Linked DNA regions of Oryctolagus cuniculus. The main gene of each other region encodes a partner of the protein of the gene in region 2 in a complex. Links are inferred from orthologs where the notes say so. Each region holds a gene or a part of one and is shown on either strand. Other genes may lie near its edges. The genes, in order: CCNC, MED26, MED24, MED7, MED4, MED25 and MED19.

Evidence for each region.
Region 1: MED26 (region 2) and CCNC share a complex: the UniProt entries of both Homo sapiens proteins name them as parts of the mediator complex. The link is inferred for Oryctolagus cuniculus from reciprocal best matches to the Homo sapiens genes MED26 and CCNC.
Region 3: MED26 (region 2) and MED24 share a complex: the UniProt entries of both Homo sapiens proteins name them as parts of the mediator complex. The link is inferred for Oryctolagus cuniculus from reciprocal best matches to the Homo sapiens genes MED26 and MED24.
Region 4: MED26 (region 2) and MED7 share a complex: the UniProt entries of both Homo sapiens proteins name them as parts of the mediator complex. The link is inferred for Oryctolagus cuniculus from reciprocal best matches to the Homo sapiens genes MED26 and MED7.
Region 5: MED26 (region 2) and MED4 share a complex: the UniProt entries of both Homo sapiens proteins name them as parts of the mediator complex. The link is inferred for Oryctolagus cuniculus from reciprocal best matches to the Homo sapiens genes MED26 and MED4.
Region 6: MED26 (region 2) and MED25 share a complex: the UniProt entries of both Homo sapiens proteins name them as parts of the mediator complex. The link is inferred for Oryctolagus cuniculus from reciprocal best matches to the Homo sapiens genes MED26 and MED25.
Region 7: MED26 (region 2) and MED19 share a complex: the UniProt entries of both Homo sapiens proteins name them as parts of the mediator complex. The link is inferred for Oryctolagus cuniculus from reciprocal best matches to the Homo sapiens genes MED26 and MED19.

Annotation. Positions count from the first base shown.
Region 1 is NC_091436.1:72,156,668-72,160,862, forward strand, and holds the start of CCNC (cyclin-C), read left to right. Parts: upstream 1-1,395; 5' UTR 1,396-1,683; coding exon 1,684-1,715; intron 1,716-4,195. UniProt on the Homo sapiens protein: Component of the Mediator complex, a coactivator involved in regulated gene transcription of nearly all RNA polymerase II-dependent genes.
Region 2 is NC_091447.1:64,938,934-64,943,159, reverse strand, and holds the start of MED26 (mediator of RNA polymerase II transcription subunit 26), read left to right. Parts: upstream 1-1,426; 5' UTR 1,427-4,116; coding exon 4,117-4,226. UniProt on the Homo sapiens protein: Component of the Mediator complex, a coactivator involved in the regulated transcription of nearly all RNA polymerase II-dependent genes.
Region 3 is NC_091448.1:22,391,791-22,395,290, reverse strand, and holds part of MED24 (mediator of RNA polymerase II transcription subunit 24), read right to left. Parts: intron 2,688-3,500; coding exon 2,576-2,687; intron 2,452-2,575; coding exon 2,301-2,451; intron 2,049-2,300; coding exon 1,935-2,048; intron 1,431-1,934; coding exon 1,383-1,430; intron 992-1,382; coding exon 909-991; intron 653-908; coding exon 566-652; intron 1-565. UniProt on the Homo sapiens protein: Component of the Mediator complex, a coactivator involved in the regulated transcription of nearly all RNA polymerase II-dependent genes.
Region 4 is NC_091437.1:44,110,628-44,114,637, forward strand, and holds the start of MED7 (mediator of RNA polymerase II transcription subunit 7), read right to left. Parts: upstream 2,703-4,010; coding exon 2,001-2,702; 3' UTR 1,996-2,000; intron 1-1,995. UniProt on the Homo sapiens protein: Component of the Mediator complex, a coactivator involved in the regulated transcription of nearly all RNA polymerase II-dependent genes.
Region 5 is NC_091440.1:67,125,663-67,129,908, reverse strand, and holds the start of MED4 (mediator of RNA polymerase II transcription subunit 4), read left to right. Parts: upstream 1-1,446; 5' UTR 1,447-1,527; coding exon 1,528-1,652; intron 1,653-4,246. UniProt on the Homo sapiens protein: Component of the Mediator complex, a coactivator involved in the regulated transcription of nearly all RNA polymerase II-dependent genes.
Region 6 is NC_091449.1:7,732,035-7,735,534, forward strand, and holds part of MED25 (mediator of RNA polymerase II transcription subunit 25), read right to left. Parts: intron 555-3,500; coding exon 456-554; intron 302-455; coding exon 181-301; intron 1-180. UniProt on the Homo sapiens protein: Component of the Mediator complex, a coactivator involved in the regulated transcription of nearly all RNA polymerase II-dependent genes.
Region 7 is NC_091432.1:14,441,134-14,445,345, forward strand, and holds the start of MED19 (mediator of RNA polymerase II transcription subunit 19), read left to right. Parts: upstream 1-1,412; 5' UTR 1,413-1,495; coding exon 1,496-1,712; intron 1,713-4,212. Other genes in the region: TMX2 (thioredoxin-related transmembrane protein 2), read right to left, coding at 853-1,041. UniProt on the Homo sapiens protein: Component of the Mediator complex, a coactivator involved in the regulated transcription of nearly all RNA polymerase II-dependent genes.

The DNA.
Region 1 (4,195 bases), on a different chromosome or scaffold from region 2:
ATTATTAGAAATTTTATAATAAATTCAAAGTTACCATGATAATAGAAATGGAAAATACAGAAGCATGATATTTCATCTTGTAAAGTGACATTTTTCAGTACATTTCTTTTTGGAACATATATGTGCATACATGTAAATATATATGTGCTTACATATTTTTAGATGTTTCCCAAACTGGTGATTCTTTGGAATTAAAACACTACTGCTGGCCGGCGCCGCGGCTCACTAGGCTAATCCTCTGCCTTGCAGCGCTGGCACACCGGGTTCTAGTCCCGGTCCGGGCAGCAGATTCTGTCCCTGTTGCCCCTCTTCCAGGCCAGCTCTCTGCTGTGGCCCGGGAGTGCAGTGGAGGATGGCCCAAGTGCTTGGGCCCTGCACCCCAAGGGAGATCAGGATAAGTACCTGGCTCCTGCCATCGGATCAGCGCGCCGGCTGCGGCGGCCATTGGAGGGTGAACCAAGGGCAAAGGAAGACCTTTCTCTCTCTCTCTCTCTCACTGTCCACTCTGCCTGTCCAAAAAAAAAAAAAAAAAAAAAAAAGAATGCATTGTGGGTGCTGGCGCCGGCGGCTCACTTGGCTAATCCTCCGCCTGCAGCGCTGGCACCCTGGGTTCTAGTCCAGGTCGGGGGGCTGGATTCTGTCCTGGTTGCTTCTCTTCCTGTCCAGCTCTCTGCTGTGGCCCCGGAGTGCAGTGGAGGATGGCCCAGGTCCTTGGGCCCTGCACCTGCATGGGAGACCAGGAGGAAGCACACCTGGTTCCTGGCTTCGGATTGGTGCAGTGCGCCGGCTGTAGTGGCCATTTGGGAGGTGAACCAACGGAAAAGGAAGATCTTTCTCTCTGTCTCTCTCACTAACTCTGCCTGTAAACAAAACAAAACAAATAACACATTGTGGGGTAGGGCACACCAGTTTGCGTCCCAGCTACTCCACCTCCAATACTGTGCCTGGGAAAGCAGCAGGTGGCCCAGGTCCCTGGGCCCCTGCATCCACGTGGGAGAACTGAAAGAAGATTCTGGCACCTGCCTAGACATGGTGCAAGCCGCGGCCCTTGCAGCCACTTGAGTGAAGCAGGGTGGCAAGGCATCTCTTTGTCTCTGGAACTGCATTTTACATAAATAAACCGTTTGTCTGCTAGAAACTAAGAACGCTTGATAGATGGAGTCAAAATCATGATTCACTTCTCTTTCCAAGCGCAGGAAAAAGGGAAGTCAACAAATCGTGTACTTTGTTATAAAGTCATTATGTCTTTTTGGATACCTGAAAGATGGACCACAAAATTATAAACTGGGCGCTTGCTCCAAGATCTCTCCATTCAGCAAATCCAGCGAGAACAGAACACAAAGGTTGCGCGGGTTCCGAGCCGGAACCGGCACGAAACTCTCGCGAGAGCTTTCCGACCGACGCAAGCCCTCCCGAGGACTTGTTCCCGTCTGACGCCTCGCTTCCTCAACTACTGCAGGACGGGCCGGAACTTTTGTCTGTAGGAACGGGTTTACTGGTTGAGTGTTGCCAGCCGGCGTCAAAAAGAATAGGGATCCATCCTCTTCCTCTCGCCGTAGCCGCCGCTGAGCCAAGCTGAGCTGATCCGATCTAGGAGCGCGGTTACCGGACGGGCTGGGTCTATGGTCGCTCCGCGGGCCGCTCCGCCGGCTGGTGCTTTTTTATCAGGGCAAGCTGTGTTCCATGGCAGGGAACTTTTGGCAGAGCTCCCACTAGTAAGTGATCTTCCGCGTTCTCGGCCGGTGCTGGTTCTTAGGGGTTGGTGAGAACGGGGCCTGCAACTCCCCTCCGTGTGGATCCCGGCGCCGGTCCGCGGCGCCGGTGAGGTCCCAGTGGGAGGCGGCAGCAGCGGGAGTGAAGTGCGCTTGTCTGAGGCGACTCTCCTCCCAGGCTGCCGGCCGGGATTTGCGGGAGAAGGATCTGTGAGCGGGAAAGCTGGGGGAAGGAGGTTGAGTGGGAGAAGGAAGGTTCAGGACTTTGATTTGGATCTGGGATTAGCTAGTCGGGTAGCACGAGGTGTGCACAGGTAGGGGAAGTGTGAGGTCGGGACCGTGAGGCAGCCTGTTCGCAGAGTCGTGGCTTCCTTTTCTCCGGGGTTTCTTCAGGATATCGGCCTCGTGGTACTTTGCCATTTACCTTCTGTGTCGAGTGGGTTTGATATTAATCAGAGGATAGGCGGGAAGCAGGCTTATTTCTAGCTCGTGATCGGTTCCAGTAACTATGCCTAGGTGGAGTTTCATGTTCTAAAAATTTATCCATTTCCTTATCTGTGTCTTACATTTTATCTTAAAACTGCATTTCTCATTGATTGTAATGAGTAAATTTGTGTTCTGTCAGCGACCACGAGCGTGTTAGAGTGATACAAAAACTTTGTCCCTAAATACGTTTGTTTAAGCAGACGGGAAGGTGCGTGTTAGACCTACTTGAACATTGACTAGGCTTTCCTTTGTAGTGCAAAAATGAACTGAGCTTGATAAAGGTATCTTAGTGTAAATTTTTCATTCTAAGAGCATTAGTAAATGTATCTTACGTTTTGTTTCTGTGAATAGAATCGGTTTTTATTCATTTTTTAACCATTTGCATAAGAAAAACAATGGGCTTGTTAACTTTCAGAAAAGCCTTTTCTTGTTGTACAGTCGATCTATGAAGTGCTGTAGAGGCTTTCCTCCCTTTCATATTTTTGTTTTACATTGTTGTCACTGAAATATTTTCTTGGGCAAAGTTAAAGTTTACAAACGGTAAATAGTGGAGAAGAGATTCTGTTTGAAAGAAGCTGAGAGAATTTACAGGTAGCTAGCTGTTGATTGTCACTTCTTCAACTTAAAAAGATAGTGCTCCCCTTCCTCTTTTTTAAGGTGAAAAATCCTTTTTTAAAAAGTGCTTTTATTTACTGTTGGCATTATAAAAAAGTTATCCTTTCACTTTTTTTTTATTAAAGGTTTATTTATTTATTTGAAAGAGTCACACAGAGAGAGAAGGAGAGGCAGAGACAGAGATAAGTCTTCCATCTGGTTCACTCCCCAGTTGGCTGCAACAGCCGGAGCTGTGCCAATCCGAAGCCAGAAGCCAGGAGCTTCTTCTGGGTCTCCCACATGGGTGCCAGGGGCTCAAGAACTTGGGCCATCCTCCACTGCTTTCCCAGGCCATAGTAGAGAGCTGGATCGGAAGGGGAGCAGCCAGGACTTGAACTTGTGCCCCTATGGGATGCTGGCACTGCAGGCGGCAGCTTTACCCACTATGCCACAGTGCCAGCCTCAATCTTTCACTTTTTTTTTTTTTTTTTGCCAGGCAGAGTTAGACAGTGAGAGAGAGACAGAGAGAGAGTTATAGACAGTTCCTTCCTTTGGTTCACTCCCCTAATGGCTGCTACGGCCAGTGCTGCACCGATCCGAAGCCAGGAGCCGGGTACTTCCTCCTGGTCTCCCATGCGGGTGCAGGAACCCAAGGACTTGGGCCATCCTCCACTGCACTTGCGGGCCACAGCAGAGAGCTGGACTGGAAGAGAAGCCACCAGGACTGGTACCCAGCGCCCCAACCGGAATTAGAACCCGGGGTGCCGGCACCGCAGGCAGAGATTAGCCAAGTGAGCCATGGCGCCGGCCAATCTTTCACTTTCTGAATACAAAATTAAACATGCTTTTTAAAAATTGTCTTTGCCTCCCATTTAAAAGAGTCTTGGTTGTCTTATTCTTATACCTTGAGAATCATGGAATGTCAGATTTTTGAAGGGTAATGAGCAAGAAAAACAAGATAATTCCAGATAAACAAGATTATAAAAGGCCGTCGTTTTAGGTGAATTTAATGAACAAGGGGGCAGAAGTTCTGTTTCAAGCCTCTTAAGATGAACTTTTTCGGCCGACGCCACAGCTCACTTGGCGAATCCTCCGCTTGGGGTGCCGGATTCTGTGCCGGATGCTCCTTTTGGAGTCCAGCTCTCTGCTGTGGCCCGGGAAGGCAGTGGAGGATGGCCCAAGTCCTTGGGCCCTGCACCCACATGGGAGACCAGGAGGAAGCACCTGGCTCCTGGCTTTGAATTGGCGCAGCGCGCCGGCGGCCATTTGTGGGGTGAACCAATGGAAAAGGAAGACTTTTCTCTCTCTCTCACTGTCTAACTCTGCCTATCAAAAAAAAAAAAAAAAAAAAGATGAACTTTCTCACATCATTTCTGAACTCAGCATGCCATTTTTTTTCTACT
Region 2 (4,226 bases):
ATGCCGTCATGGTTTCCCTGTGTCTGGGCTGGGGGCCGGGGCGGGGTGGGGGCCCCGTGCTGTGCTGCAGCTTTGCAGGGCTGCACTGCGTGGTCCTCGCGTGCGTTCTCTCAAGGGGCAGCCCAGGGTGCCGTGGCGAGCCTCAGCAGTTGTGCCTGGTGTCTCCCGGAGGTTGGTCCCTGTTCCCGCTCGGTGCAACTCTTCCGCGGTAGAGCCGGCTCAGCGCTGTGTGCGGGTCCCCTCTCGCGGGCCCCAGGTCCTGTGCAATCTCCTGTAGCTGGCATTCTTATTAGCGGTTTCTGGGAGAGGGGGAGTTGCCGCCGGCCCAGTGTCCTCACAGAGGGCAGAGGTGAAGGCCTCGGTGTGGCTGCCTCGCTCGCTTGCTCGCGCTCCAGTTGTGTCCACGTCGGAAAGGAAGCAGCTTGCAGGTGACATTCTGAGACCTGCTCTGCCCCCAGAGGGCCGAGATCAGGATTCTGAGTCCAGGGGCTGTGTGAGCCAGTGGGCCTTGGGCCGGGAGGAGCTGTGCAGACGTGAAGTGGGCGGGAAGCGAGGAGGGTCGGGGCGGGCGGTGGCTGCGGAGCGCAGAGCCGCCGCCCTCTGCTGAGCGGAGCTCCCACCTGAGGCCTGCCGTAGCTCTCCTCCCAGGGCCACCGTGCGTTTGCACGCCTGGGAACCTCCACCGCTGCCGCAGCAGCTTCCCATTTCTGGGCGACTCGTGGGGAGCAGCCAGGCCTCCGCCCGCTGCCCGCACCCAGGCTGGTGCTTCTGTCCCCGACCAAGGTTCCAAGTGCGATTTTGTGCTCGGCCCGTTGCTGCCCGTGGCAGGAGCTCAGTGCACAGGGTCGTCACCCCAGGGACGCCGACAGGCCGCCCAGAGGGCTGATACTCCGGGGGCAGCAGGCCGGCCCGCCAGTGAGGAAGTGCTTTTGCAGGTGGTCACTTGGTGGCTGTGACTGGGATATCCCCCCCCCCCCCCCCAGCCGGGCTGTTCTTCCTCTGGGAAGCCGTAATGAGGGACTCTGCCCCTGTGGGTTTGAGGCTCCCGGGGCGGCGGGGGGGGGGGGGGGGGCTGTGGAGGAGGCGGGAGCGGGCAGCGCTGGGCTGTGTGGGGGCCGCAGGGGCCGCCCCTCCTTGCAGTGACTTGCAGCAGAGGGAGCTGCCTGGGGACTCGTGGGGTTTGTCAGAAGCAGGAAGACTTGGGCTGAAGAGCACGGCTGGACCAGAGCACACACGCGTGCACCAGCGGGGCCCGCTTCCTTCCCGTGTCCGCGCACACACGGCGCATGCCCAGCCCTGTGCAGGCGGCCTCCTGCCCAGCACCACGCAGGCTGTGCTTGGGCGTGGAATGGGAGCGACGGCTTGCTCCCTGATGAGCACTTCCAGAGCTTTGCGAGTAAGTGGTTTTGTAAATTCTGTCTAGACCAGTTCTGCCTTTAAAACTAATAATAAACCAGCAGCAGTGTCCACACTGTTAGATTCGGGGGAACCCGTTTGCGCAGGTGCTTTGGGGCCGCAGCCCCGGGAGGGGGGTACTGCCCACTGCCTGGGGCGTTGGAAGGGTGGCCAGACGGGGAGTCATCGGGCCAGCACGGCGCGGAGCAGGCTCCAGGGCTGTGGATGGGCCCTTGGCTCAGCGTTGAGTGTGGGCTGGAGACCCCGTGCGGCCTGGGGAGAGCACAGAAGCAGCACCAGGGCCATCTGGAGGTGGCCCTGTGGTTTCGAGGAACGTTCTGGAAACTGTGCATTTCCTGCTGGGGAGGGTCAGAGTCTGATGCCACTGTCCCTTCAGGCTGGCGGGCGGGGCCTGTGCAGCCTTCTAGCTGGGTGGTCTTTCTCCTTGGGCCATCTGTTTCTTTACCTGGAAATGGGGGCGTGGGGGTGAGCACTGAGAGATGTGGGCTCCTGTGCAGCCCGCCGGGCCGGGGCAGGCTCAGGGCTCAGGCCTGAGGGAGCGTGGCACACCGCCAGCTGCAGGCCGGAGAGGGCCCTCCCCGAGGTGGAGACGGGGCTGGGAGCGGAGGGACCTCTCCGACTGCACGGCCGCGTGTCTCAGTTCCTCGTTTCTGCTCAGGGCTGGAAATCCCCCGCGGGCAGCGTTGCTCGGGCGCTGCAGGCGCAGCCCCGCTTCCCCAGGTGCGGCTTTGCCGAGGCCGCCTGGGCTGCAGGTGCCCTCACAGCCCCGCGGCAGTGCGACTCGGACGGCGGTCTGGGCTCCTGGGGGCGTGAGGGTGGCCACAAGGCAGAGCGGCCACGGCCTGTGACCCAGCTGTGGACTCTGCACCATGTGCCTGGCTCCCGGCTGCTCCCGCACGGGTGCGGCGGTGTCCTCTCCACCTATGGAGACGGGCAAGGGCTTTTGCCCATGTCCTCACCCTCGTGTGACAGACCTGGAACACCCCTCCTGCCTGCTGGCTGGTCTCGGCTGCCCGTGCACCTGCCCTCTCTGTGGCCGTAGCCATCCTGGGCTCCCGCTAAGGGAGAAGCTTGAGTCAGGCCGCGGGCCGAGCGCTCAGCCCTGCCTTCTGGCTCAGGCACGCAGGCCGTTTCTGTGCTGGGACTGGCGGGCGGCAGACCCGCAGCCTGCGGGAGGCCCGGCGAGGAGCTCCGGGGGGCTCAGCAGATGGAGGGGCCGTGTCCTTTGGAGCAGAGGTTAGGCCAGCACGGCCCCCTCCCCGCACTGGTGGCAGATGGTGGAGCCACACGCCGCGGAGGGGCTGCCATCGGGTCTGTGCTCCCTCACCTGAGTGCCTGCCAGTCGTCTGGAGCCGAGACCTTCCGTCCGGTGTTAACAGATCAGGTGTGATTTGTCGTGTATATACATTTGTTATCTTCGGCAAATTTCAGACATCAAAGCAGAGAGGAGTCTGCTCCGCGTCCTGTTGGGTGGACAGCACGTGGAGCCAGTCCGCTCTGCTGCCGTCCCATCCCCGGGAGAGGGGCAGCGCTCCTGGGCCCCGGGCTCCCTGTGGGCGCTCCCCTGTGTGGGTCCGGCCCCGCTTCCTTCGCGTGTCGGCTGTGAGACGTGCTGGCCACACCTGTGCAGGAAGCCTCAGGTCTCCTGGGGCGTCCGCGCCTGCGCTTGGGTCTCGGTGGCGCGGGCACGGGAGAGCCTCGAGCGCCCGGCATGCATGCCGCACGTCCGGCTGGCCACCCTCACCTAGATAGCAGGTCACCTCTCCCTGCTAGTTCCGCCCGCCTTGACCCTCCAGCCCAAGACCAGGCGTCCCCACTCGTGTCTGTGAGACCCCAGAGACACGGGCTGGCCGGTGTGTCCTTTCCTGTCGGCCCCGAGTGCTCTCCAGGCCAGGATCCCGTGTGACAGTCCACAGCACCCCTGGGACTGCTGCCCGAGAGCCCTCGGGGTGGGCACCTCAGGGCCCCCTCCCACTCCAGGCCAACATGGTGGTGGTGGTGATCGGGACGGCCCCTTGGTGGAACTGGGCCGGCACCGGCTTCTCTGCTTCGAGGAAAGCAGTGATGTGCATCTGCTCGGGGAGCCCTGACAAACCTAAGAGGCCGCAGTCCCTGCCAACTCCTCCCTTCTCCGAAAGCCACTTGGCAGAGGGTGGGGAGGTGTTTGGCCTGGGAATGAATCCCCAGGAAGAAGCTGCGGGCCCCCAGCGCCCTGTGTGCCGTGGGCGGTGTCGGCAGAGCCGCCTTAGGCTGCCTCGGGGGCAGCGCCTGTGCTGGCATTCGGATCAGGCACATTTCTCCACGGCTCCGGGAGCGACCGAGACCTGGGGCGCGGCAGCAGCGAAGGCTGGTGGGAGACAGAGTGTGTGGGAGCCAGCCCGCGCCCCCCGTGTCTGTCCCCTCTCGGCCTTGCCCTGGTGGTCCGTCCTGGCCGCCAGAGCCCCTGTCAGCCACAGGCTCCCTTCACTGACGGTGGGAGGCCACTGGAGGGGTATGGTGTGGTAGGCGAGGCAGGTTTCCCGTGGCCAGCTCGCCTCTTGCTCCTCAGGGCCCCGCACGGCTGGGTGCTCGGTGTCCCCTGGGACAGAGTGGCCGTGTTGGGCTCTGCAGGGCTGTTGGATCAGGGACCTTCCATGTCCTGCCCGCCTTCGTGGGGGGCCGGCACTGCATTGCTGGGGGTGGGGGCCTGACTGCTCTGGAATGTTCCGCTGGTGTTCAGGGGCACGCACCCCTCTCTACCTGACCTGGCTTTGTAGGTGGAACCCCAGGAGCCTGGCCTCCTCCCCAGCGGGTAGAGAGATCTGCAGAGG
Region 3 (3,500 bases), on a different chromosome or scaffold from region 2:
CTATCACACTGGAAGGTATGGGTTAAAAAGTAGCAACTAGGGCTGGCTGGCGCTGTGGTGTAGAGGGTAAAGCTGCCACCTGCAGTGCCAGCATCCCATATAGCACTGGTTCGAGTCCTAGCTGCTCCACTTCCAATCCAGCTCTCTGCTATGGCCTGGGAAAGCAGTAGAAGATGGCCCAAGTCCTTGGGCCCCTGTACCCGCATGGGAAATCCAGAAGGAATTCCTGGCTCCTGGCTCTGAATCGGCCCAGCTCTAGCCATTGCAGCCATCTGGGGAATGAACCAGCGGGTGGAAGACTTCTTTCTGTCTCTGCCTCTGTGACTCTGCCTTTCAAATAAATAAATAAATGTTAAAAAAAAAAAGTAGCAACTGAGAGAACCAAACTGTATGTTAAAGAACTGAGTTTGGTCTGTCCCTTCCTGTCCCCTGTCCCCTCGTGGCATGGTCCCAGTCATTTGCAACCCAAACTTTAGACAGGAGTGGGAGAGGCAGCAGCAGCCCAGTCAACAGGAGACAGAAAAGCCCGGGGCTCTTGGGGTAGCCCACATGAGCTCACACTTACCGCTTAGCTGTAAGGCTGTTGACACTGGCTTCAGACAGAAGCCCCTGCTTGCTACATTCTGTGAGCAGGAAGTTTGTACAATCACAGCTGTGAGGGAAAATGATGATGAGACAACGGCGCGCACAGCTGGGAGTTTACAGGGAAGGGTTTTGAGGATGAGGACAATTTGGAGGGAAGGGAACAGAGATCTCGGTTCGCAGCAACTACAGGGCTGCTGCCTCCTGCCCCTGCCAAGGGGAGCCAACAAGGAGACAGTGTCCCCAGAGGCTTATCTGGCATAGCCAGCAAGCTAAGAGCCCGGAACACCTTCCAGGAGCGCAGGGCTTGAGCAGGGCGCTCATACTTGCAGCGCTGGTCAGCTTTGTCCAACAGCGGGGTGAGCTTCAGCAGGAACTCAAAAGCAGAGTGGACATCCTCAGTGAAGTCCTACAAAGGGTCAGAAACTTCCACCGGGGTTCTGGGTCCCCTGCTCCTCCCACAGCCCACAAGGCAGTCATGCAAGGCCATCCTGTTGGATGCAGGGGCCTGCTGTAGGTCCTGCCTGCCACCGACTCCAAGGACTGGATTGGAGAAGGAAGGGGCATCGGTGTTTCCCTCAGGCGACCTTGCCTGCTGGAGGAGACAGCCTGCCTGCTGCCGGGAGCCGGGCCACATATGGCAGGACACACACAGGGCTCCAATGCTCTCACACACTTGCTGTCTTCTGAACACAAGCACAGACTGCCCGACTAGGGTCTGAACGACCTCCCCTGCCCTTGTTTCTCCAGCGTAGAATGCCCTCACCTGCTCCACACCCCACCCCATTTCTCCAACTCACCTTGTCCCCATGACAGTATTTCTTCAGCTTCACCAGCACCTGCGGAATCTAGGGCACAAGGTAAGGGAGAAACAGGAAGATCAGTCTCACCTACTATGAAACGTCCCCCTCCGGCCCCTGCTCCGGGCAGCGGGACAGGAGTGCTCCTGACTGGAAGTGAAGACTTCCTTCGAGGCCAGTCAGAAAGCTGGGGGGCGCCCAAGGGCCTGATGCCCCTCAACCCACTGGACACAGGAACCACCCACTTCTGCCAGCTCCACAAGGAAATGCCATGCACAGAAGTGGGGGAGCCCAGCTTCCAGACGACCGGGGCCTACCTCCCTGGCTCTGGGAACTGCCCAGCACCAGGCTGGCTGAGCATCAAGCTAAACAACACCCCTTGTTGAGAAGCCAGAGTCCTGCCAAGTGGACTAAATACAGCCCTGGGGCTTTCAGAGATCATCAGTGGGAACCGGTGCTGGGGCCCCTGCAGGCCGGCACGAAGCCAACACGGGCGAGAGGGCCAGGGCCCAGGTGTCTGCTTGCCCCGAGACTCATCCAGGCTCCAGGTACCTTGAGGAAGGTGAAAGCTGTCCACTTGAGTTCCTCTGTGCCCTCAGGGGACTCGATGAGCCCCACAAAGCAGGCTTTCCAGATCTCCAGCACAAAAAGAGGGGTGGGGATATGCTGTGGAAAGTCAAGAGTGAGGCCTAAGAGGGTGCCCCGCACCCCTTCATCCTTCTCAGGCTCCAGGGGCTAGGCCAGGTCAGAGACTGCAGGGCAGGGCTGCTCCCCAGCTCTGGTGCTGAGAACCAGGGAGGTCAGAAGACAGAACCATGCATGATTGGCAGCCCCTTTCCACCAGACACAGGAGACTCCTCCCCCTGCTCTGACCTGCCCGCCCACCTCGGGTAAGGGCGGCCACCCGGCCCCTCCCACCTGCATGCGTTTCACCATCATGAGCTGCTCCACCAGGGGCTGCGTCTCGCCTGTCAGGTTCATGGTGCCCTCGAGCAGGACCACCGCGTGGACTGTGGGGAAGCCAGTCTTGTGCAGCTGCTCCGAATGCACAGACAGCATTGTGGGGATGCTGAGGGGACAGCGTTTGGGGAACAAAGGTGAGAACGAAGGGGATAGGAGTGGGCACTGTAACCTCACCCAAGCCCCAGGACACATCCTCCCTCTTCCCCACCATCATCCTGGGAGCCGGCTACCTCCTAATGAGTGTGCCACACTGTTCAGCCTGGCTCTGGAGCTGGGGGTTGCTGAGATTGGCCAGGATCTCCCCAAGCTTCAAGAGAGAGTGCTCAATGGCAGTCCAGGAGGCTGAAGAGGAACAGGAAATGCACAAACTTGATAGGCAACAGAGGGCCTGGTTCCACGTCTTTGGCACCCTGGGCCCACAAAACCACGCAGGGAGGCTTCCCCTGAGGATGACATGGAGGCTAGGGGCTGAAGGGCAGCATGCACTGTGTGTGCAAGGGGACAGCTACTGAGGGCTGAAGGCCCTAGAAACCACGCCAAAAAGCCTGACTCCCATGGGACGCCCCAGCTGACTGCAGAGACCATATGGGCAGTAGCAGAGGGCAGCACGCAGCGTGTAGAGTCCCTGGCTGGATCAGGGAGGCCAGCCACAAATCACCTCACGAGACAGCCCAGCTGAAAGGCCAGCCAGCCTGGCATGGCCCTCTCCCTCCACTCAAGTCGCCTGGTTCCCAGACTGCCATCCCTGTCCGCCACCTCTCCTCTGGGCCCTGCCCTCGGCTCCCCATTTTGGGAAGATGCCCCCTCACACACAACTCCCACCATCCTTCAAGTCCCTGCTCAAGCCTCAGTTCCTTTAACAAGTTACCCAACTGCTCTAACCCACTAATCTCTCTAAAGGCCAGCACTCATGCTCTCTACCACACTACTTAGCACTTGATTATAAATCGCTTATCCTAGTTACAACTCCAGAGGGTCAAATGGTGAATAACAGCAGCAACCAGCCCATTAACCATGTAGCACGAGGGGAAGAAAAAGACAAGACCCGAGACGCATCAGAATCAGGGACTCATCCACTCTGCGGCCAGCAGGCACTCATCCATTCTCGTCAGGCCAGAAGTGGTCAAGCACAGCCCCGCTTTACATAGTGATTAT
Region 4 (4,010 bases), on a different chromosome or scaffold from region 2:
CAGAACTCCTTGATTAGCTCTGGGCTAAAGTGAAGCTAACCTATGGCATTGCAATCCATCAATACCTCTCCCCTCAATGCGCACACACACACACACACACACACACAAATTTACAAGTAACTGTTGTGACTCTTAACAATGTTAAATGATTTCATTTCTTACATGCAAGGATTTTCAAAGTGGTCCCAAATTGGTTTTGTACCTCAGCCCAACACTCCTCTCACAGCAATGTATTTTTTAAAAAGTCAAAAGAGAAACGGTTGTTGAGTTGTTCAAGAGCCATTTCCATCTTGCTCACTGACCAAGGTATGAGGGAGGAGGTGTGGAACAAATTTAATTTAATTAAGGGAAACCAGAATGTCCTTTGGGGGTCTCTGGTCCCAAGGTCTACACCAAGCATATTCCAGTTGGTAAAAAAAAAAAAAAAAAAAAAAAAACCTTAAATTTGAGACTTGTTAATTAGTTCTTGTCTGCTAGAAGTGTTAATTGGAAACAGCCTCTGTCTGAATGCAAAGAATGCATATTTCACACAGGGAAATTGGCCTGTAACCATTTTACAGTGAGTTGGTGAGACCTTAATGCAGCAAATCCCTATGCTAGTAAACAGGAAATGAGGGAGAAATCAAAAGCACATCACCCAGGAAAAGGCCCATCTCTACAGATGGTAATCTTGAGCATGCATCAGAATTGGAGGAAGGCTTAACACCAAGCTTGCCACGCCCTGTGCACCAGCAAGTTTCTGGTTCAGAAGGTCCAGGGTGGAGCCAGAGGAGCTTGATTTCTAACAAATCCCCAAGTGATGCTAATGCTGCTGGTCCAAAAGGACAATGGAGAACCACTGGCTTCTGTCAGAGAGTAGCAGGCAAAGATCCTGATATGAGGCCAATGGGCGGGAGGGGGAAGGAGGGAGGAGAAAAGAAAGTACAGAAATAAAATCTCAGTACCCAAGACAGTTTATTTCTTGTTCACATTAAGTTAGCTGTAGAAGGAAGAATGGAGTTAAAAGAGGACCTAATCTTCACATTCTAGAACCAAATTACTATAAACTGTTGTCACCAGGCTTGCATGGGTGTGGGCACACACCTAGCCGACTGGGGAACAGAATGGAAGATCGTGCAAGAAATCTTAGGGCACAGACTCCATTTCCCAGAACTTAGTCACATGGCCTCACACAGATATAGGGCAGTAGGGAAATGTGGTCACTGGCTGAACAGTGATATCTCAGCAAGAAGAAGCGCGAATCACTGGTGGACATCGAGCAGTTGCTCCCACCAAACCCTTCTCCCACTGCAGTCTACCAGCCTTGATCATGTCTGAGCTTAGCTTTAAAAATGTGTAATTTCAAAGAATTACAAATATTTTTAAAAATCTGTAATTTCAATCCTCTTAATTACTAAAATCTGTAATCTAAAATTTCTAACTAAGCTGACCAAAGACTTTCTACCCAAGTGACTGAGAAAAACCAATTTATGGGACCTACCAAGGTTCAAGATAAGGAAAAAGAGTCTACTGAGGTAGTAGAGTTACAAGAATCACAAGGAAAAATAAAGTTTTTGTTTCATAACAAATGGGTCTCTTTTAAAATGCTATACTACCTTATGCAGATTAGGTAAATTTTTAAATATTACATAATTTCACATTTTAGAGTATCTATCCCTCATTCTTAAAGCAAATGACAAATTTACTTTTTAAGGATGAAAGTTTGCTATTACCAAGGACACTGTCAAACTTTTACTCCAACTCCAAAAAAAAGAATGCCCCACACATCTGCAGCAAACATTTTCTTTTTCAGGTCACTATTCTTAATTTACGGGTCCCTGTTTGCCTACACTTGTTATATACTGAAATTGCTGCCTATGGCATTACGTAAGTGAAAAAGCTGGAGAGTCAAGAAAAAGGCCATTTAAACTTTTAGTTATTCATTTTAAGACTGCCCAAAAGAAAATAAACCAGTAATATTATACTATTTACCAAAAGGGAAAAAAGAAAACTAACATGAGTCACGGTCTTTCATTCATTTCATCAATTAGGACACACAAGGCAGCATCTTTTTCTATAATCTGGTCCCTTCGATGACCTGAATTTTCTCTTTGCTGCTCACTCTGTCCAGTACAATTGTTGCTATCATCAGCATCCATTGGTTCAGTTTTTACTTTTATTCCTGCTTCTGAGTGGGGTAAATCATCAGGCAAAGAGGCCAAGCAATTCTGAATCATCTCAATCACTCGCTCCAGATGCTTCTGAAACCTCTCGGCTGTTTCAAGCCTCTGTCGTTTCTGGACTTCCATCATAACTCTCAAGGTCTCTCTTGCTTGGTGGGGTCTGTATTCATTTATGAGATGATGCACATGGACAAAAAGCAGCTTAAGATCTTCCAGCTTCTCTTCTCGTTTTATACTCCCAGGGCTCCTTATCAAGATATCTAAAAGGTCCAAGAAATTAATAAGGATAGACATATTGAGTTTCCTCAGTTCTTTCTTGTGATCAAATTGCATAGGATGAAGCCTTTCGATGCCCTGACTTTCCAAAGGGCGGATAATAAGATCATCACATTGGAACTGGTTGCCAAACATCATATAACTGTCTTTGATTGGAGGGGGTGGCTTGGGAGCTAGACCTTCCTGAATATTTTCATCAGTGTATTCCTTGATGTACTGCATAGGAGGTGGAGGAAGTGCACTCACTTGCTGTGGCTCACCCATTGTGGAAGATCAAGCACCTACAAAAACAAACCAAAGATTCACAGAAGAACTACAAAACAAACCTGTCACATTTAGTGTTTACAGACAGAGCACTCCCCTTTTCTTCCGGTAGTTTCAAAGCTAACACTTACAACTCAGAATGGATGCCACCCTTTTCTAATTAAGCACTATATTCTCAACAACCCACATTATTTTTCCTTCCCTGTTAATACTTCTCTCCCAATATCTTGGAGTACCTTTTCATTTATAAAGAAAAGTCTTCTGGATTCTACACCACTTACCTTTTATGTCCCATTTCTCCACATCTCTTTATAGCAAAACTACACATGCTGTCGCCCAAACACATATCACAATCACTTTTTTTTTTAGAAGGTAGATGATTTTAAGATTTACTTTATTGATTTGAAAGGCAGAGTTACAGAGAGAGAAGGAGAAACAGAGATATCTTCCATCTGCCTTTTCATTCCCCAAATAGCTGCTAAGGACTGGGGCTGGGCCGGGGCCATGTAGAATCCAGGAACTTCATCCGGATCTCCTTTGTGAGTGATATGGGTCCAGGCACTTGGGCCATCTTCCACTGCCTTCTCAGGCATATGAGAGGAAGCCAGATAAAATTGGAACAACCAGGACTTAAACCAGTGCCCATATGGGATACTGGTGTTGCAGGGAGCCATTTAACCTGCTGCGCCACAATGCCAGCCCCTACAATCACTTTTACTATTACGAAGTGATTTCCCAAAGTAAATACTTATAACTCAAACATTTTGACAAAATTAACATTACTAAAATCTAGATACCCAGTATCATCCAAGGCTCCTAGATGAAATGATTATCCAAGTCTGTATCTTTTTTCTACATTTTATGCTACAATTTACTAACCTTTCTGTATCTACTATAGAAACTTGAAACCCAAATTCAAACCCACAGCTTCTATGGCCACAATCACTTCTACTTACTCCTTTTTAAACATAGGTATTATCATCCAATCTGAAGATTCTCAAGTGCTCTTTTAAACCGATCTGAACAGTTTTAAGACACACCCCTCCGACGTCAGGAGGCGGCAAGTACCCGTGTGCCTCTGCGGATGCGCACCCCTCGACTTCAGCTGGCATCTTTCCAGGGTCAACTCCCTAAGAGGCATCACTGTCTCACATCCTCTCCACATCATCTTCCTGCCAAAGCTATGACCTAAGTACACGATCAATTCTATTCTTCGGATGAGGATCCCAAGTCTTAAGGGCACGTGTCTGCAGATCGCATAACTACTAACGGCACAACAGCAATTCCTACCCCACGTCCTTTCAGCTC
Region 5 (4,246 bases), on a different chromosome or scaffold from region 2:
ATCCACGCTGCCTGTCAAAAAAATAAATAAATAAAAATAAAGAGTTAAAAAAAAACACCATGGAAGCAACCCAAACTTCCATTATTGGATGAACAGATAAGCAGAAGGTGGTATAGACAAGTAATGGAATATCAAGCAACTTCAAAAAGGGAACTCTGACACTTGCTACAGCATGGATGAAATTTGAGGACATTTTGCTAAGTGAAATAAGCCAGTGACAAAACAGACAAATAATGTATGATTCCACTCACACAAAGAAGCCGAACTCACAGAAACCAGAAGGATGCTGCTTTCTAGGGACTCCCTGGGGCGTGGGGAGGAATGAAGCTAGATTTGTTTTATGAGGTGTGAATGTTGCAGGCATGCCAATCTCAACTTTTATTCCAAGTTTTTGTCCCTGCAGAGGTAAGAATTCAAAACAGAGCAATACATACAGAGCACGAGGGAGAAGACGATTTATTGAAAGAGTGAATATACATTCTCGTGTGAGTGTGGGCATCCCTGCATGGAGAGATGCTTGTCATGAGTGGGCCAGAGTTGCCTAGGAGGAGAGAGAGGGCAAGGAGACCAGAGAAGGACCGTAAGTATGCTCCTGAAGCCAAAAAAGCAAAAAAGGAGTGTTTCCACATTTATCAGTCCCTTTTGTGAGGTACTGGGTGGTGCTCTGATAAGTATGCAAACAGCATGGAGTTCAGTGTGAGGCAGTTTCATGGTGCCTTGGCTAGCAACTTACCTTCCACGTGGTCATTATGGTTCCCTTCCTTCCTGATCCCTGATGAGGCAGGTGCATCATGGGAAAGGGGGCACACTGGGTTGACAGGTAAGGGGGAGGAGTTGCCATGCAGGGTTATGCAGAAATTCTGAGAAACTATTCCAGCTCAACTCTTTCTACCTAATCTTCATGCCTAGTTCCCCCATCATTAAAAAGAGTTTTCTAGATGCACAATAGTGTGAACATATTTAACGTCACTGAACTACACACTGAAATAGCTAAAACCGTGACTTTTACGTTTTGTGTATTTTGCTACAATGAAAAAAAATAGGATCACAAATGGTTTTGGTTCCTGTGCTGAAAAGCTTACTGCAGCTTCCAAGAGCCATGCAACAGGAAGGTTAGAACAGCATCATGGGAATGCAGACTGCAGAGACAATCCTGGGGAGACACCAGTCGAGTTTATGAAGAAACGGACATAACAGGTAGGCAAGTAGGTAACTCCCTGAAATGCTCAAAAACCGTTTGGGAGAAGCCTTCCATTGCTGCTTGAAAAACCAGAAGGCCCAGAAGAATCGGACTGAATCGCCCCCTCCAGTCTCACTCCTTGGGCGCTCCCTGGGTATGTAATGGAGAAGCCCGGCTGGTCCAGCAGATGGCGCTAACGCCCATAGTGCGCCTCCAGTCGCCTAGGCGGCGCTCTGGCGGTACCGCTCTTCCCTACGTCTCGGTGACCCTTCCTTCCGCTTCCCGAGCCCGCCTCTTCTCCCACTAGCGCGGAGGTGCGCCTGCGCTGGTTCCTGGCCCTGGGGAGCATGGCGGCGTCTTCGAGTGGTGAGAAGGAGAAGGAACGGCTGGGAGGCAGCTCTGGAGCGGCAGGCGGTAACAGCACGAGAGAGCGGTTGTTATCTGCGCTTGAAGATCTGGAGGTCTTGTCGAGGTAATGGCGCCGGCCTGAGAGCCTGGCTGGGGCTGGGCTGGGGGACTGGCCCCGGAGCCCGCCGCCGCCGGCCCTCTGCGCTCATTCCTGGGTCTCGGCGGGGAGGCCTGAGCTTGGGAGTCCCCGGTGCTTGAGTGTTAAGGATATGGGGTCTGCAGATCTCTGGGACTCTGGGCAACACTTTTTTCTTTGCCGTCAGAGAGAATTTTAGTCATGACAGCCACCCTGGAAGTCCAAGACGGCAAGAGCCAGAGCGAACCTTAAGAGGTCTCGCGTTGGGAGACTGGCACTAATGGGCTGCCCCTTGGGCGCCAAGCACTAGGAGACTGTCGTGAAGGGGAGGCTGGGTGCCGACGCGGAGGAGCCCGGGGTCAGGGAGAGACAGGTGGGTAAACAGTGCTGGTGCGGGGCTCGTTCTTGTCCGAGCAGTGCGTTGCGGGCCCGGGAGTGTAGTCAGGGCAGGCTTTGGTTGGAAAGAATGAATTCATCGGACTCAGCAGGTGGCAGGGAGGTGACATAGTGTGTGCAAACCTTGGAAGTCGGAGGCCCCAGGCCCTGGCGGAGTTGTAAGGTGCTGGGGATGGCCGCAGAGCAGCATGGGAGACGGGATGGGATCTTGTTCTGCAGGCTCTCAGTTTTCACGGTCGTCTTTCAAGTCGGGGCCTTCCTGTCTTCTGTGGTTAACCTGGATCTAAGTTGTGTTGTTTTTGCAGCCTGCCAAAAGTTTCTACTTTCTTTTGTACTTGATATACTTTGTCATTTTATACTGCTGAGCACCATCGTTATTTTAAAAAGCATCTCGCATCATTCTTCTTAAAAAATACTCGATAGCCCGTATAAGCAGAGTCAGGCCCAGTGTCGGGTTTCTGTCAAGGAAAGACCAGATATATGATTATGCTGTGGTGGTCCCTTAGGATTATAATGGAGCTGAAAAATGCCTGCAGCCTCGTGGCCTTGTTGCCCTCTGTGCTCGTGTTTGTGGTGACGCTGGTGTGAATGGGCCCACCTGCTGCCGGGGGCGTGAAAGTGTAGCACATACAGTTACACACAGCCCCTCATTCCTTTTCTTTAAGGTTACTTATTTGAAAGGCAGAGTTACAGAGAGAGGGAGAGAACGGGAGCGAGCTTTTCCATCCACTGGTTCACTCCCCAGATGGCTGCAAAGACCAGGGCTAGGCCAGGCCAAAGCATGGAGCCTGGAACTCTGCCGGGGTCTCCTGCCTGGGTGGCAGGAACACAGTACTTGGGCTGTCTTTCGCTGCTCTCTCGGCACATTAGCAGGAAACTAGATAGGAGGGGTATCTGGGACTTGAACCCGGAGCTCATATGGGATGCCAGTGGTGGCTTCACTGGCTATGCCATGATGCCAGCCCCCGTCCATAATTCTTGATAATAAATGACTGTTACTGATTTATGTATTTACTGTGCAATACTTTTCATTGTTATTTAGAGTTTATTCCTCCTATTACTTAAAATTTAACTGTTAAGCAAAGTGCCACATTCTGCTGGGAGCAGCCTCCTATACCTTGTTTTTGCTGGGAACTGTTGATTGCGTCAGGCCACAGCAGGTGGCCGCTCCTGTCTGGGTTTGTGTAAGTACAGTCACCTCACCGTGCATTTGAGGGATGCCTGACTACTTCCCATGTCACCGCCAGCTGTACTTCGTCAGTGCCATTCCTACTCTATCTCTAGCTGGCTGAATGATTGAGTTGTCTTTCAGCATCTGTCTCAAATGTCACCATTTCCGTAGCCAGCATTCTGTGACAGCAAATGCCGATCTGCTTACACTCAAGATCAGTACTTTGTCTTTGCTGTGAATTTAGCCCTTGCTGTACCATTACTTACCAATGTTAAGTACAACATTTAGTGATGTAATGAAAACCTAAAAACACGCAGACAACAGAAGGTAAATGGCTTATAAGCTTCATCCACTGTTTACATTGTAGTAGGATCACAAACAGGGCACCTGGAATTTTCGGTCAGCCATTGCTCAGTACAGGAAACAAACTCACAGGCACCAGGCAGCTGTCCAGGCTTTGCCTCCAAGTGTTTACAGACGGAGCATGTCCATCTTCGCTGGTTTAGTAGTTTATGGTGGAAAACTTGTCAGTTCCCTCATTAGCCAATCCTCTTAACATCAACATCCACATTATTTCTTAGTTAACAAAAAAAACACACTAGCAAGGTATTTAGTATGATGTTTCAGTTAAATTATTCACGTGTCTGTTCTGTGTGACATCATCTGTGAGACAGCTAACTGAATGCTCATTTAGTTCCTGTTGAGTTCTCACTGTTTGTAGTTGCTCAGCTCCAAGTTACCAACATAAAAGCTGCCTAGCCACTGCTGTTTTTTTTTTATTTTTTTTTTTTTATTTTTTTTTTTATTTTTTTTTTGACAGGCAGAGTGGACAGTGAGAGAGAGACAGAGAGAGAAAGGTCTTCCTTTGCCGTTGGTTCACCCTCCAATGGCCGCCGCTGCAGCCGGCGCACCGCGCTGATCCTGGCAGGAGCCAGGAGCCAGGTGCTTTTCCTGGTCTCCCATGGGGTGCAGGGCCCAAGCACCTGGGCCATCCTCCACTGCACTCCCTGGCCAT
Region 6 (3,500 bases), on a different chromosome or scaffold from region 2:
TGCTGTGGGGGGGATACGACAGGAAGTGGGTGCCCTGATGTAGGGCAGAGCAGAGCAGAGCAGGGGGGACGCGGGGCCAGCCCCGGGTGCCCACACCTGACAGGCCTTAACCACAGTTCTCACTGGCCGAGGCAGGGACGGCAGACTCGGGGAGCTGCCCAGGGCACTCTGGGTCCTCACCTCCCCAATCTTCTGCACCAGGCTGTCGGTCGTGCAGCCCGAGTACGTGGTGCTCTCCACGGCGGGCAGCAGGTACGGGGGGGAGTTGCAGATCAGCAGGCACACGCGGTGCGTCTGGCCGCTGCAGGTCAAGAAAGGCATGGAGCAGCCACCACGGGGCCTTGAGGAGGCCGCAGACCCCGACCCCAGCTGCCTGCCCCACGCCCCCACCACAGACCACGTGGTCCCGGGCCAGCTGGCACGAGCCCGGCCCAGGCCGCGCGAGGGGCACTCACATCTGCTCCCGCATCTTCTTGAAGTCGTCGAACAGCTGCAGGGCTGTGCTGAGGCCTTCGGCGATGAGGCTGCAGCTCTCACCGCCCCCGCCCATGAACCTGCCGGAGGTCAGGGGTCAGCCAACGTGCCCCTCGCCCCCCCGCCGGCCTGTGTTCCCTGCACTGTCCCCGCAGTGGGCACAGCACCAGGCCAAGGGCGTGGACGGGGCACCTGTGCTGTCCTGATCCTGGGATGACCCTGTCCACACTCCACACCCCTGGCCATCTAGTCCATCTTTAAAGCCAGCCCTGGGCTCACCTCACCTTCCCAGCAGGTAGAGGGACCCCTTTGTCTCCCAGCACCTGGTGGGTTTGAGTGTCTCCCTCTCCCCAAATAAAACAAGCTGAGATCCTGCCCCTAGTACCTCAAAATGTGACCCGACTGTAAATGGGATCTTTAAAAACTTTTTTAAATTTTACTTGAAAAGCACCCCCACAACACACACACAGGCGGTGATACTCCTCCTAACCGTGCGTTCACTCCCCTCCCCAAATGCCTGCAACAGCCAGGGCTGGGCAAAGCCAGAGCCAGCAGCTGGGAGCTGCACGCAGGGCAAACGTGGGTGGCAGGGGTCCAGGCACCCGAGCTCCACCTGCTGCCTCCGGGCGCTGGGCAGCGGACGCTGCGTCCCAGGCAGGGCATCACCCACGGTGCCCCTCGCCCACCTGGAAACACGCGTTCTCCCCAGGTGATCGAGTTAAACAGGTCACCAGGGGACAGCAGGGCAGACCCTGGGGTGTTAGGCAGGAAGTCAGTTATGAGCTTACGTGTGTGTGCCAAAGGCCTCCCGAGAAAACTTCTACGTTCAGCATATGCATCTGCATCTCAAAGTCATCCTGATGGTGTTACAGGGGCAGCCCGGTATTCGCATCTTCACATCCTGCCCTGCCCCCTTCTACCTGATGACCTGCCAGGTGGAGATTCCCCCCGACTTCCGCCTGACAAATCCTCCACAGTCTCCCAGGTGCAGCCCAGTACCTGCATCTCAAACACCCTGCTCCGGATCCCCATTCTCCAGGGGGTCCTGCTCACCCTTCCTCTGAACCCAGGATGGCGCCAGCTGGGCTTCCTCCTGTCTGATACCTTCAGGGGAAAACTCAGATAGGAGCTTCTTAATATTTACAGCCATAAAATCCTTTGATTCAGGAGGAGATGTGTGAAGACAGAGACCCATCTCCTTAACCCTCCCCCCCCCCCGCCCCCAGCCTCAACCGGACTGCGCGCTCAGCCCTCTGCCTCTCTGCTGAGCCGCCCGCCTGGTCTGGTCAGGTGTACTCTCTCCACTCAACCATGTAACATCCCCCCCCCCCCCCCCCCAGTCCGAGCGACTGCACTCTTTCCCAGGTCCTGTCTGGAGAGGTGCCCATCCATCCTCACGGATGTCCCTTCCCTAATAAACCTTGCTATTTTACTATTTTACCTCCCACTGCTCTCTGTCTCACGCCTGAATTCTTTCTTGCGCGAAGACAAGAACCCTGCAATTTCTCCGGTAACAGGGGAAGACGGCGCCAGCCGAGGGAGCTGTGTGATGACGGGGGCGACACAAGCCAGGGGCATCTGGGACGACCAGAAGCCGGGAAAGGAAACCAAGCCTCGCCCATTGGCCCCCAGAGAGAGGCCTGGCCGGCGCCTGGAACCCAGACTTGCGGCCTTCCAACCTGCAGCCGATCTGTGTCTGCTCAGGCACTCAGCACTCCGCGGGTGCGGCCCAGGGAAAACACCCAGGCACAGGCACAGGCACGCTCGCACTCGGCCGCTCCTGTGGGGAGGGGGCAGGGCCTGCTGCAGGGCTGTGGGTGACCCTGTGCCTGGCCCACGCAAGTTAGCCTCACTGCGGGCAGGCAGCAGCAGCCCCAGGCCCGTTCCCCCACCCCAGCCTCCTGCGGAAGAGCCCGGAACTGCCCATCAGGTAAACAGCCCCCGGGCGCGGCCCAGGCCCATCAGGAAGGCTGCAGGACCTTCAAGCTGGTTGAGAAGCAGAGCGCGCCAACGGCGGCCTTACCCTCTAGCGCTGGTGTTGCCCTGAATTAGCCACGCCCCCCGCCTGCCCTTTTCTATCTCATGCTTGATCGTCAATAAGCAGACTTGTTCACCAAAACCGGTCTCTGGCGCTTCTTGCAGAACGCCGTCAACCCACCATCCCGGCAGTGTGGACCTTGCAGGACGAGCCCACACACGGGCGGGTCCAAGCCCTCTCACCACCAGCCTGTGCACCTGGGGGCCTTGGAAAACGTGTCTTCAACAAACGGATGGCCACATCCATTAGGGCGGGAGCAGACCCAAGCCCCCGCCGGGCACCTGCACCCCCTGGGCCTGGTCCACCATCACTGGCCTCTCTGGACATGCTCCAAGGGGCAGTCCACGGTCACCTGGACCGAGACGAGACGAGACGGCGGCTGCCAGGGCACCGTGAACTGCCAAAACGCCCGAGGTCAACACCGCTCCTTGTTTGGAACAAAGAGCCCGCTGGCCCGAGACCTGCTCACCCGCGGCCCACGAGTGCTCTCCCAGCCTCCGTCCACTCCCTGGAAAAGCCTGGTGAACCCCTCAGCTCCCTCTCCCTCTTATAAAGCCCTCACTCTCCTGTGTATTTCTTCTCTCACTGAATAAATGCTAAAACCATTAAAAAAAAAAGTCCGAGGGCCACAGTGAAAGGCTAAACTTTGAAATCCTAAAACTTGCTCTTTCTTCTGAATGAACACAAACAGAACTCAGAGAGAAAAACAAACATTCTGTCAGAGATGAGCAACGCTTCTACTGGGGAACAGAAACAAACACTGCCGGTCACAGGACACAGCTTCCCCACGGAGCTGGCACCGGCACCTGCGACACCGGCATCGCATACGGGGCCCGGCTGCTCCGCTGCCCATCCAGCTCCCTGCTGGCGCGCCTGGGGCAGCAGCAGGCGACGACCTGAGTGCTTGGGCCCTGCACCCACGTGGGAGACCCGGACGGAGCTCCTGCCGCCTGGCTTGTGGTCATTTGGGGAGGAAGAGGCAGATGAA
Region 7 (4,212 bases), on a different chromosome or scaffold from region 2:
TTCGCACCAGTGTAGCTCTGGCCGCTGCGGCCAATTGGGGAGTGAACAGCAGATGAAAGACCTCCCTCTGTGTAATTCTGACTTTCAAATAAATGACTCTTAAAAAAAAAAAAAAAAAGGCAAAACAAAACAAAAAAAACCACAGATGCTGCTACCCAGGAGAGGGCTAAACTCTTTTTTTTTTTTTTTTTTTTAATAAGCGGTCTCAAAACTACTGAGGAAGCACCGCAGGCGGCCTGGCACGTATTTTATTTTATTTTTCTCCAATTCCTTTTCAGGTTTTATTCAATTTTGCATCCCACATCCGGGTGCAGCACAGTACTTAGCACACAGTGTGCTCAATGAAGAGATGGCTGACAGAACGAGCAAGTCCCAATGGCCGGAAAAGTCGCTGTAAAGGCCCAGGCACTCCAGTCGTGTGACCCCGGGCGCGTCGGCTGCCCACGCGCAGGCCGGTTTCTTCAAGCAGGAAACCGGACTACGACCACTACCCGCCTCGTCGCCCCCCGCCCCAGGCTCCTCGGGAGGCTTTGCACAATGAGCAGTACTGCAGAACGCCACACAGGTGCCGAGTTTGGGCACGGCTGTCTACTGGCAGGAACAGCGAGGCGTCAGGAAGCCCGGACTGGGGCTGTCGTGCAGGGGCTACCAGGCACCGCCTCCGTTTTCCCATCGTAAACACTTCGTTTAGATGCGATGACAGTCTGCGCCCTACACCCTTCAGCAGTCTGCAAGCCCGCTAGAGGCTGGGAACCTCAAGTGTCCTTAGGAAGGTGAAACTCGGGACTCCACATGCACCCGCAGGGGCAGGGACAGTCAAGGTCGCGGGGTTCTGAGCCCTAGAGCGCTCACCCAGTCAAAGTCACACGGGTTGCCGTCTTCGCGTTGGGTGGGGAGTCCATGGCAGAGCGGTGGCAATTTCCTCACGAGCAGGAAGGCAGCAGAGAGCAGGGCAGACAGAAGGTAGTAAGGCCTGGCCAGCCATCGTGAAAGTCGCGGCACCGAATACACCAGAGCAATCAAAGGCGCTAAGACCGCCATGTTTCCAGGTCCTGCGGCGCCCGCCGCTCACCGGCGTCCGTAAATCTGGGCCCGCCTCCCACCCCATTGAGCGTTCTATTGGCCCAACTACCAGAAGAACCGCCTCTAGACCCGGAAGTAGATTTCTCATTGGATGCCGCCGTAATTCCGAGTTGAAAAGTGGAGTTGACCGGTTTACTGGCCAATCTAGTTGTCGCTTTTTCTACCAAGGTCATTTTATTGGATATGTGTTTATGGCCCGCGGAAGTGACCCAGAAGAATTCAATCAGGTTAGATAGCACTTCCTGAACGTTTTCAGAAAGCGACGGAAGTTGTTGCCAGAAAAAGGTAGGTGGAGCCACAGATATCCAATGATAAGCTTTCTTTACAGGAAGAGGGCGGTACCCCGTGAAAGGATTGTCCAATGATAGTCATCAACGCCAGACACTGAGGCAGCGCCGGTGCGGAGGGGACGATGGAGAATTTCACGGCGCTGTTCGGGGCTCAAGCTGACCCACCACCTCCCCCAGCCGCACTAGGCTTCGGACCAGGAAAGCCTCCACCCCCGCCCCCGCCGCCGCCGGGCGGGGGACCCGGCACAGCGCCGCCTCCCACGGCGGCCACCGCTCCTCCCGGCACAGACAAGTCAGTGGCTGGTTGTGGCCCCTTCTATCTAATGCGGGAACTGCCTGGTGAGTACTAGGCCTGGCCGAAGCTAACCAGTCCAATGCTGAAGAGGTGAGGGCGTGGCTGTTGGCCGGCTGCTGGAGGTGCAGAGGCTGCACGGACCCGGGCCGTGGAGCTGGAACTTGCAAGAGCTGCGAAGATTCGCAGCCACAGGGATGATTGGGTTCGTGGGATGGATTGGGAGGAGGTGGGTGTGTGTCTCTGGGTCTGGGCTGTGCCCCTGACACTGGCTTCTCCAGGGTCATGGAGATCGGAACTCAAATGATATGCCTAGGGAACCGAGGTTTTTTAGTTTCAGTCCGCCTCAGGCTGGCTGTTGGTTTGGGGGTAAGTTTCTTCATCTATTCAAAGACGGGATTAGAAGGACACGAAATTATTTCATATCAAATTTATGTGGTTTGTTCTGCATGCTGGAGCTACAGCTGTGAACCAGACTGGCAAGATCTTTGTCCTTTTTGCCATTGGAGACAGCGTAAGCAAGATAGCATCAGATAGTGATTAATGCTGGATGAAAACGTGATCAAGAGTTGAGGTGGAGGCAGGCGTTGTGGTGCGGTAGGTTAAGCCACGGCTTGGAACGCCCGCATCCCATATTGGATTGAGTCCTAACCCTGTGTACACCCTGGATGGCAGCGGACGATGGCACGTCCCTGGATTCCTACCGCTGTCAGGGGAGACCTGTGTGGAGCTCCAGACTCAGTCGCGGCTGTTGCAGGCATCTGCGGAGTGGGCCAGCAGATGCAAGATTTCATCCTGTGCCTTTCAAATAAAATAATTTTTAAAATGTGGAAAAACTGAATTAAAAGATGTTCACTTTTAGAAAATGGACATAACTGTTGCTAGATGATCAGAGTTAACAGAGAGGAGAGGCAGAGAGAGAGAGAGAGGTCTTCCATCCTCTGGGTCACTCCCCAGATGGCCACAACAGCTGGGGCTGGGCTGATCCGAAGCCAGGAGCCAGGAGCTTCTTCCGGGTCTCCCACATGGGTACAAGAGCCCGAGGCCGTGGGCCATCTTCTGCTGCTTTCCCAGGCCACAGCAGAGAACTGGATCAGAAGAGGAGCAGCTGAGACTCAAACTGGTGCCCATTTGGGATGCCGGCACTGCCGGTTGCGGCTTTACCTGCTATGCCACAGTGCCGGACCCTAGTGCTTTTTCTTAAACTATAGTTTTCCTTTTATTTGAAATGCAGAGAGACAACCACCAGCAGTTTCTTTAAGCTTTTTTCACTTACTCTGATTGTGCTTGTTTCTGTCAGCCCGTTGGCAGATACTTGGTATCTGTTCTTGGTAAATGCTCTATGTGCAGGAACAATGATGTGTTGAAAGGGGGAAAGAGATGTCAGGTCTGGGCCTTACTTCCTAATTTTTACTTTATTTGAAAGCCAGGGAGAGACGCAGAGAGACATTCCATCTGCTGGTTCACTCCCCAAATGCCCCCAACAGCCAGGGCTGGGCCAGGCCAAAGCCAGGAGTTGGGAACTTGATCCAGGTCTCCTTTGTGGCTGGCAGGAATCGAGTCCTTGCCGTCATCTGCTGCCTGGCAGCCTGCATCCTAGCTGGAGGTTGGAGCAGAAGCAAAGGAGCCGGCACGGAACCCAGCCACTCTAGTATGGGATACGGGCATCCCAAGCAGTGTCGTGACGACTGCTGCAAATGCCCACCCTTGGTCCTTGGTTTATAAGAAGACTATTTTAGTTAGTTAGGGAAGCACAGTATGTGGTTTGTGGATAAACAAGTGACTGTTTCTCATCGATACCAGTCTCATTACTTTGCAGTCATGCCTTAAATACTGCACAGCTAACAGTATCTTAGTGAACAGCATTAACTCCTTGATGGTTTTCAAAATGTGGTGTATCCATGATGACAGCAAGAAATTAGATGTCACTTGAGCTGGACTGTGAAGAATTCACATTGGTTGGGGAAAAAAAAAAAAAAACAACAGATTTTTCCTAAAAGGAAACAATATAAGAGGGAATGCCTATTTTTTTTTCTCATAAGTGTGGAGACTCATTTGAATGGATCAGAAATTTTACCAAAAAGAAAGAAATTTTACCTTTGGGGAAGTAGTGGCTGATGAAGCCCAGAGCTAAGTTGGATGCAGTCAGATGTGAATAACCCTGGATGCCTGAGGAACGGGTGCTTTCTCCCGAGAGTAACAGGAAACCTGAAGGTTTTTGAACTCAGAAGTCCTGCTTTCTAAAACATCTCAAGAATGGCGGTGCCATGATTGAAATGAAGAAGCCATAAGTGACATGGGCAAGAATTTGAATTAAAAAAAATTGAATCTGCATGAAATTTACTGCAAAGAAGGTTCATTCAGGAGAGGAGTCAGAGCTGGGGAGAAAGATTTATAAATTAACTACAAAGCAATAGTCAAAAACAGGAAGTTAGAGTTTAGAAAAAGCACAGTACCTTCTCCCTGACCTTCAGCAAAACCACCTGGGAGGAAGATAACTGGCAGAGAGGAGGGAACATCAGAAAGCAGTAGCAAGCAGCAGTGCCA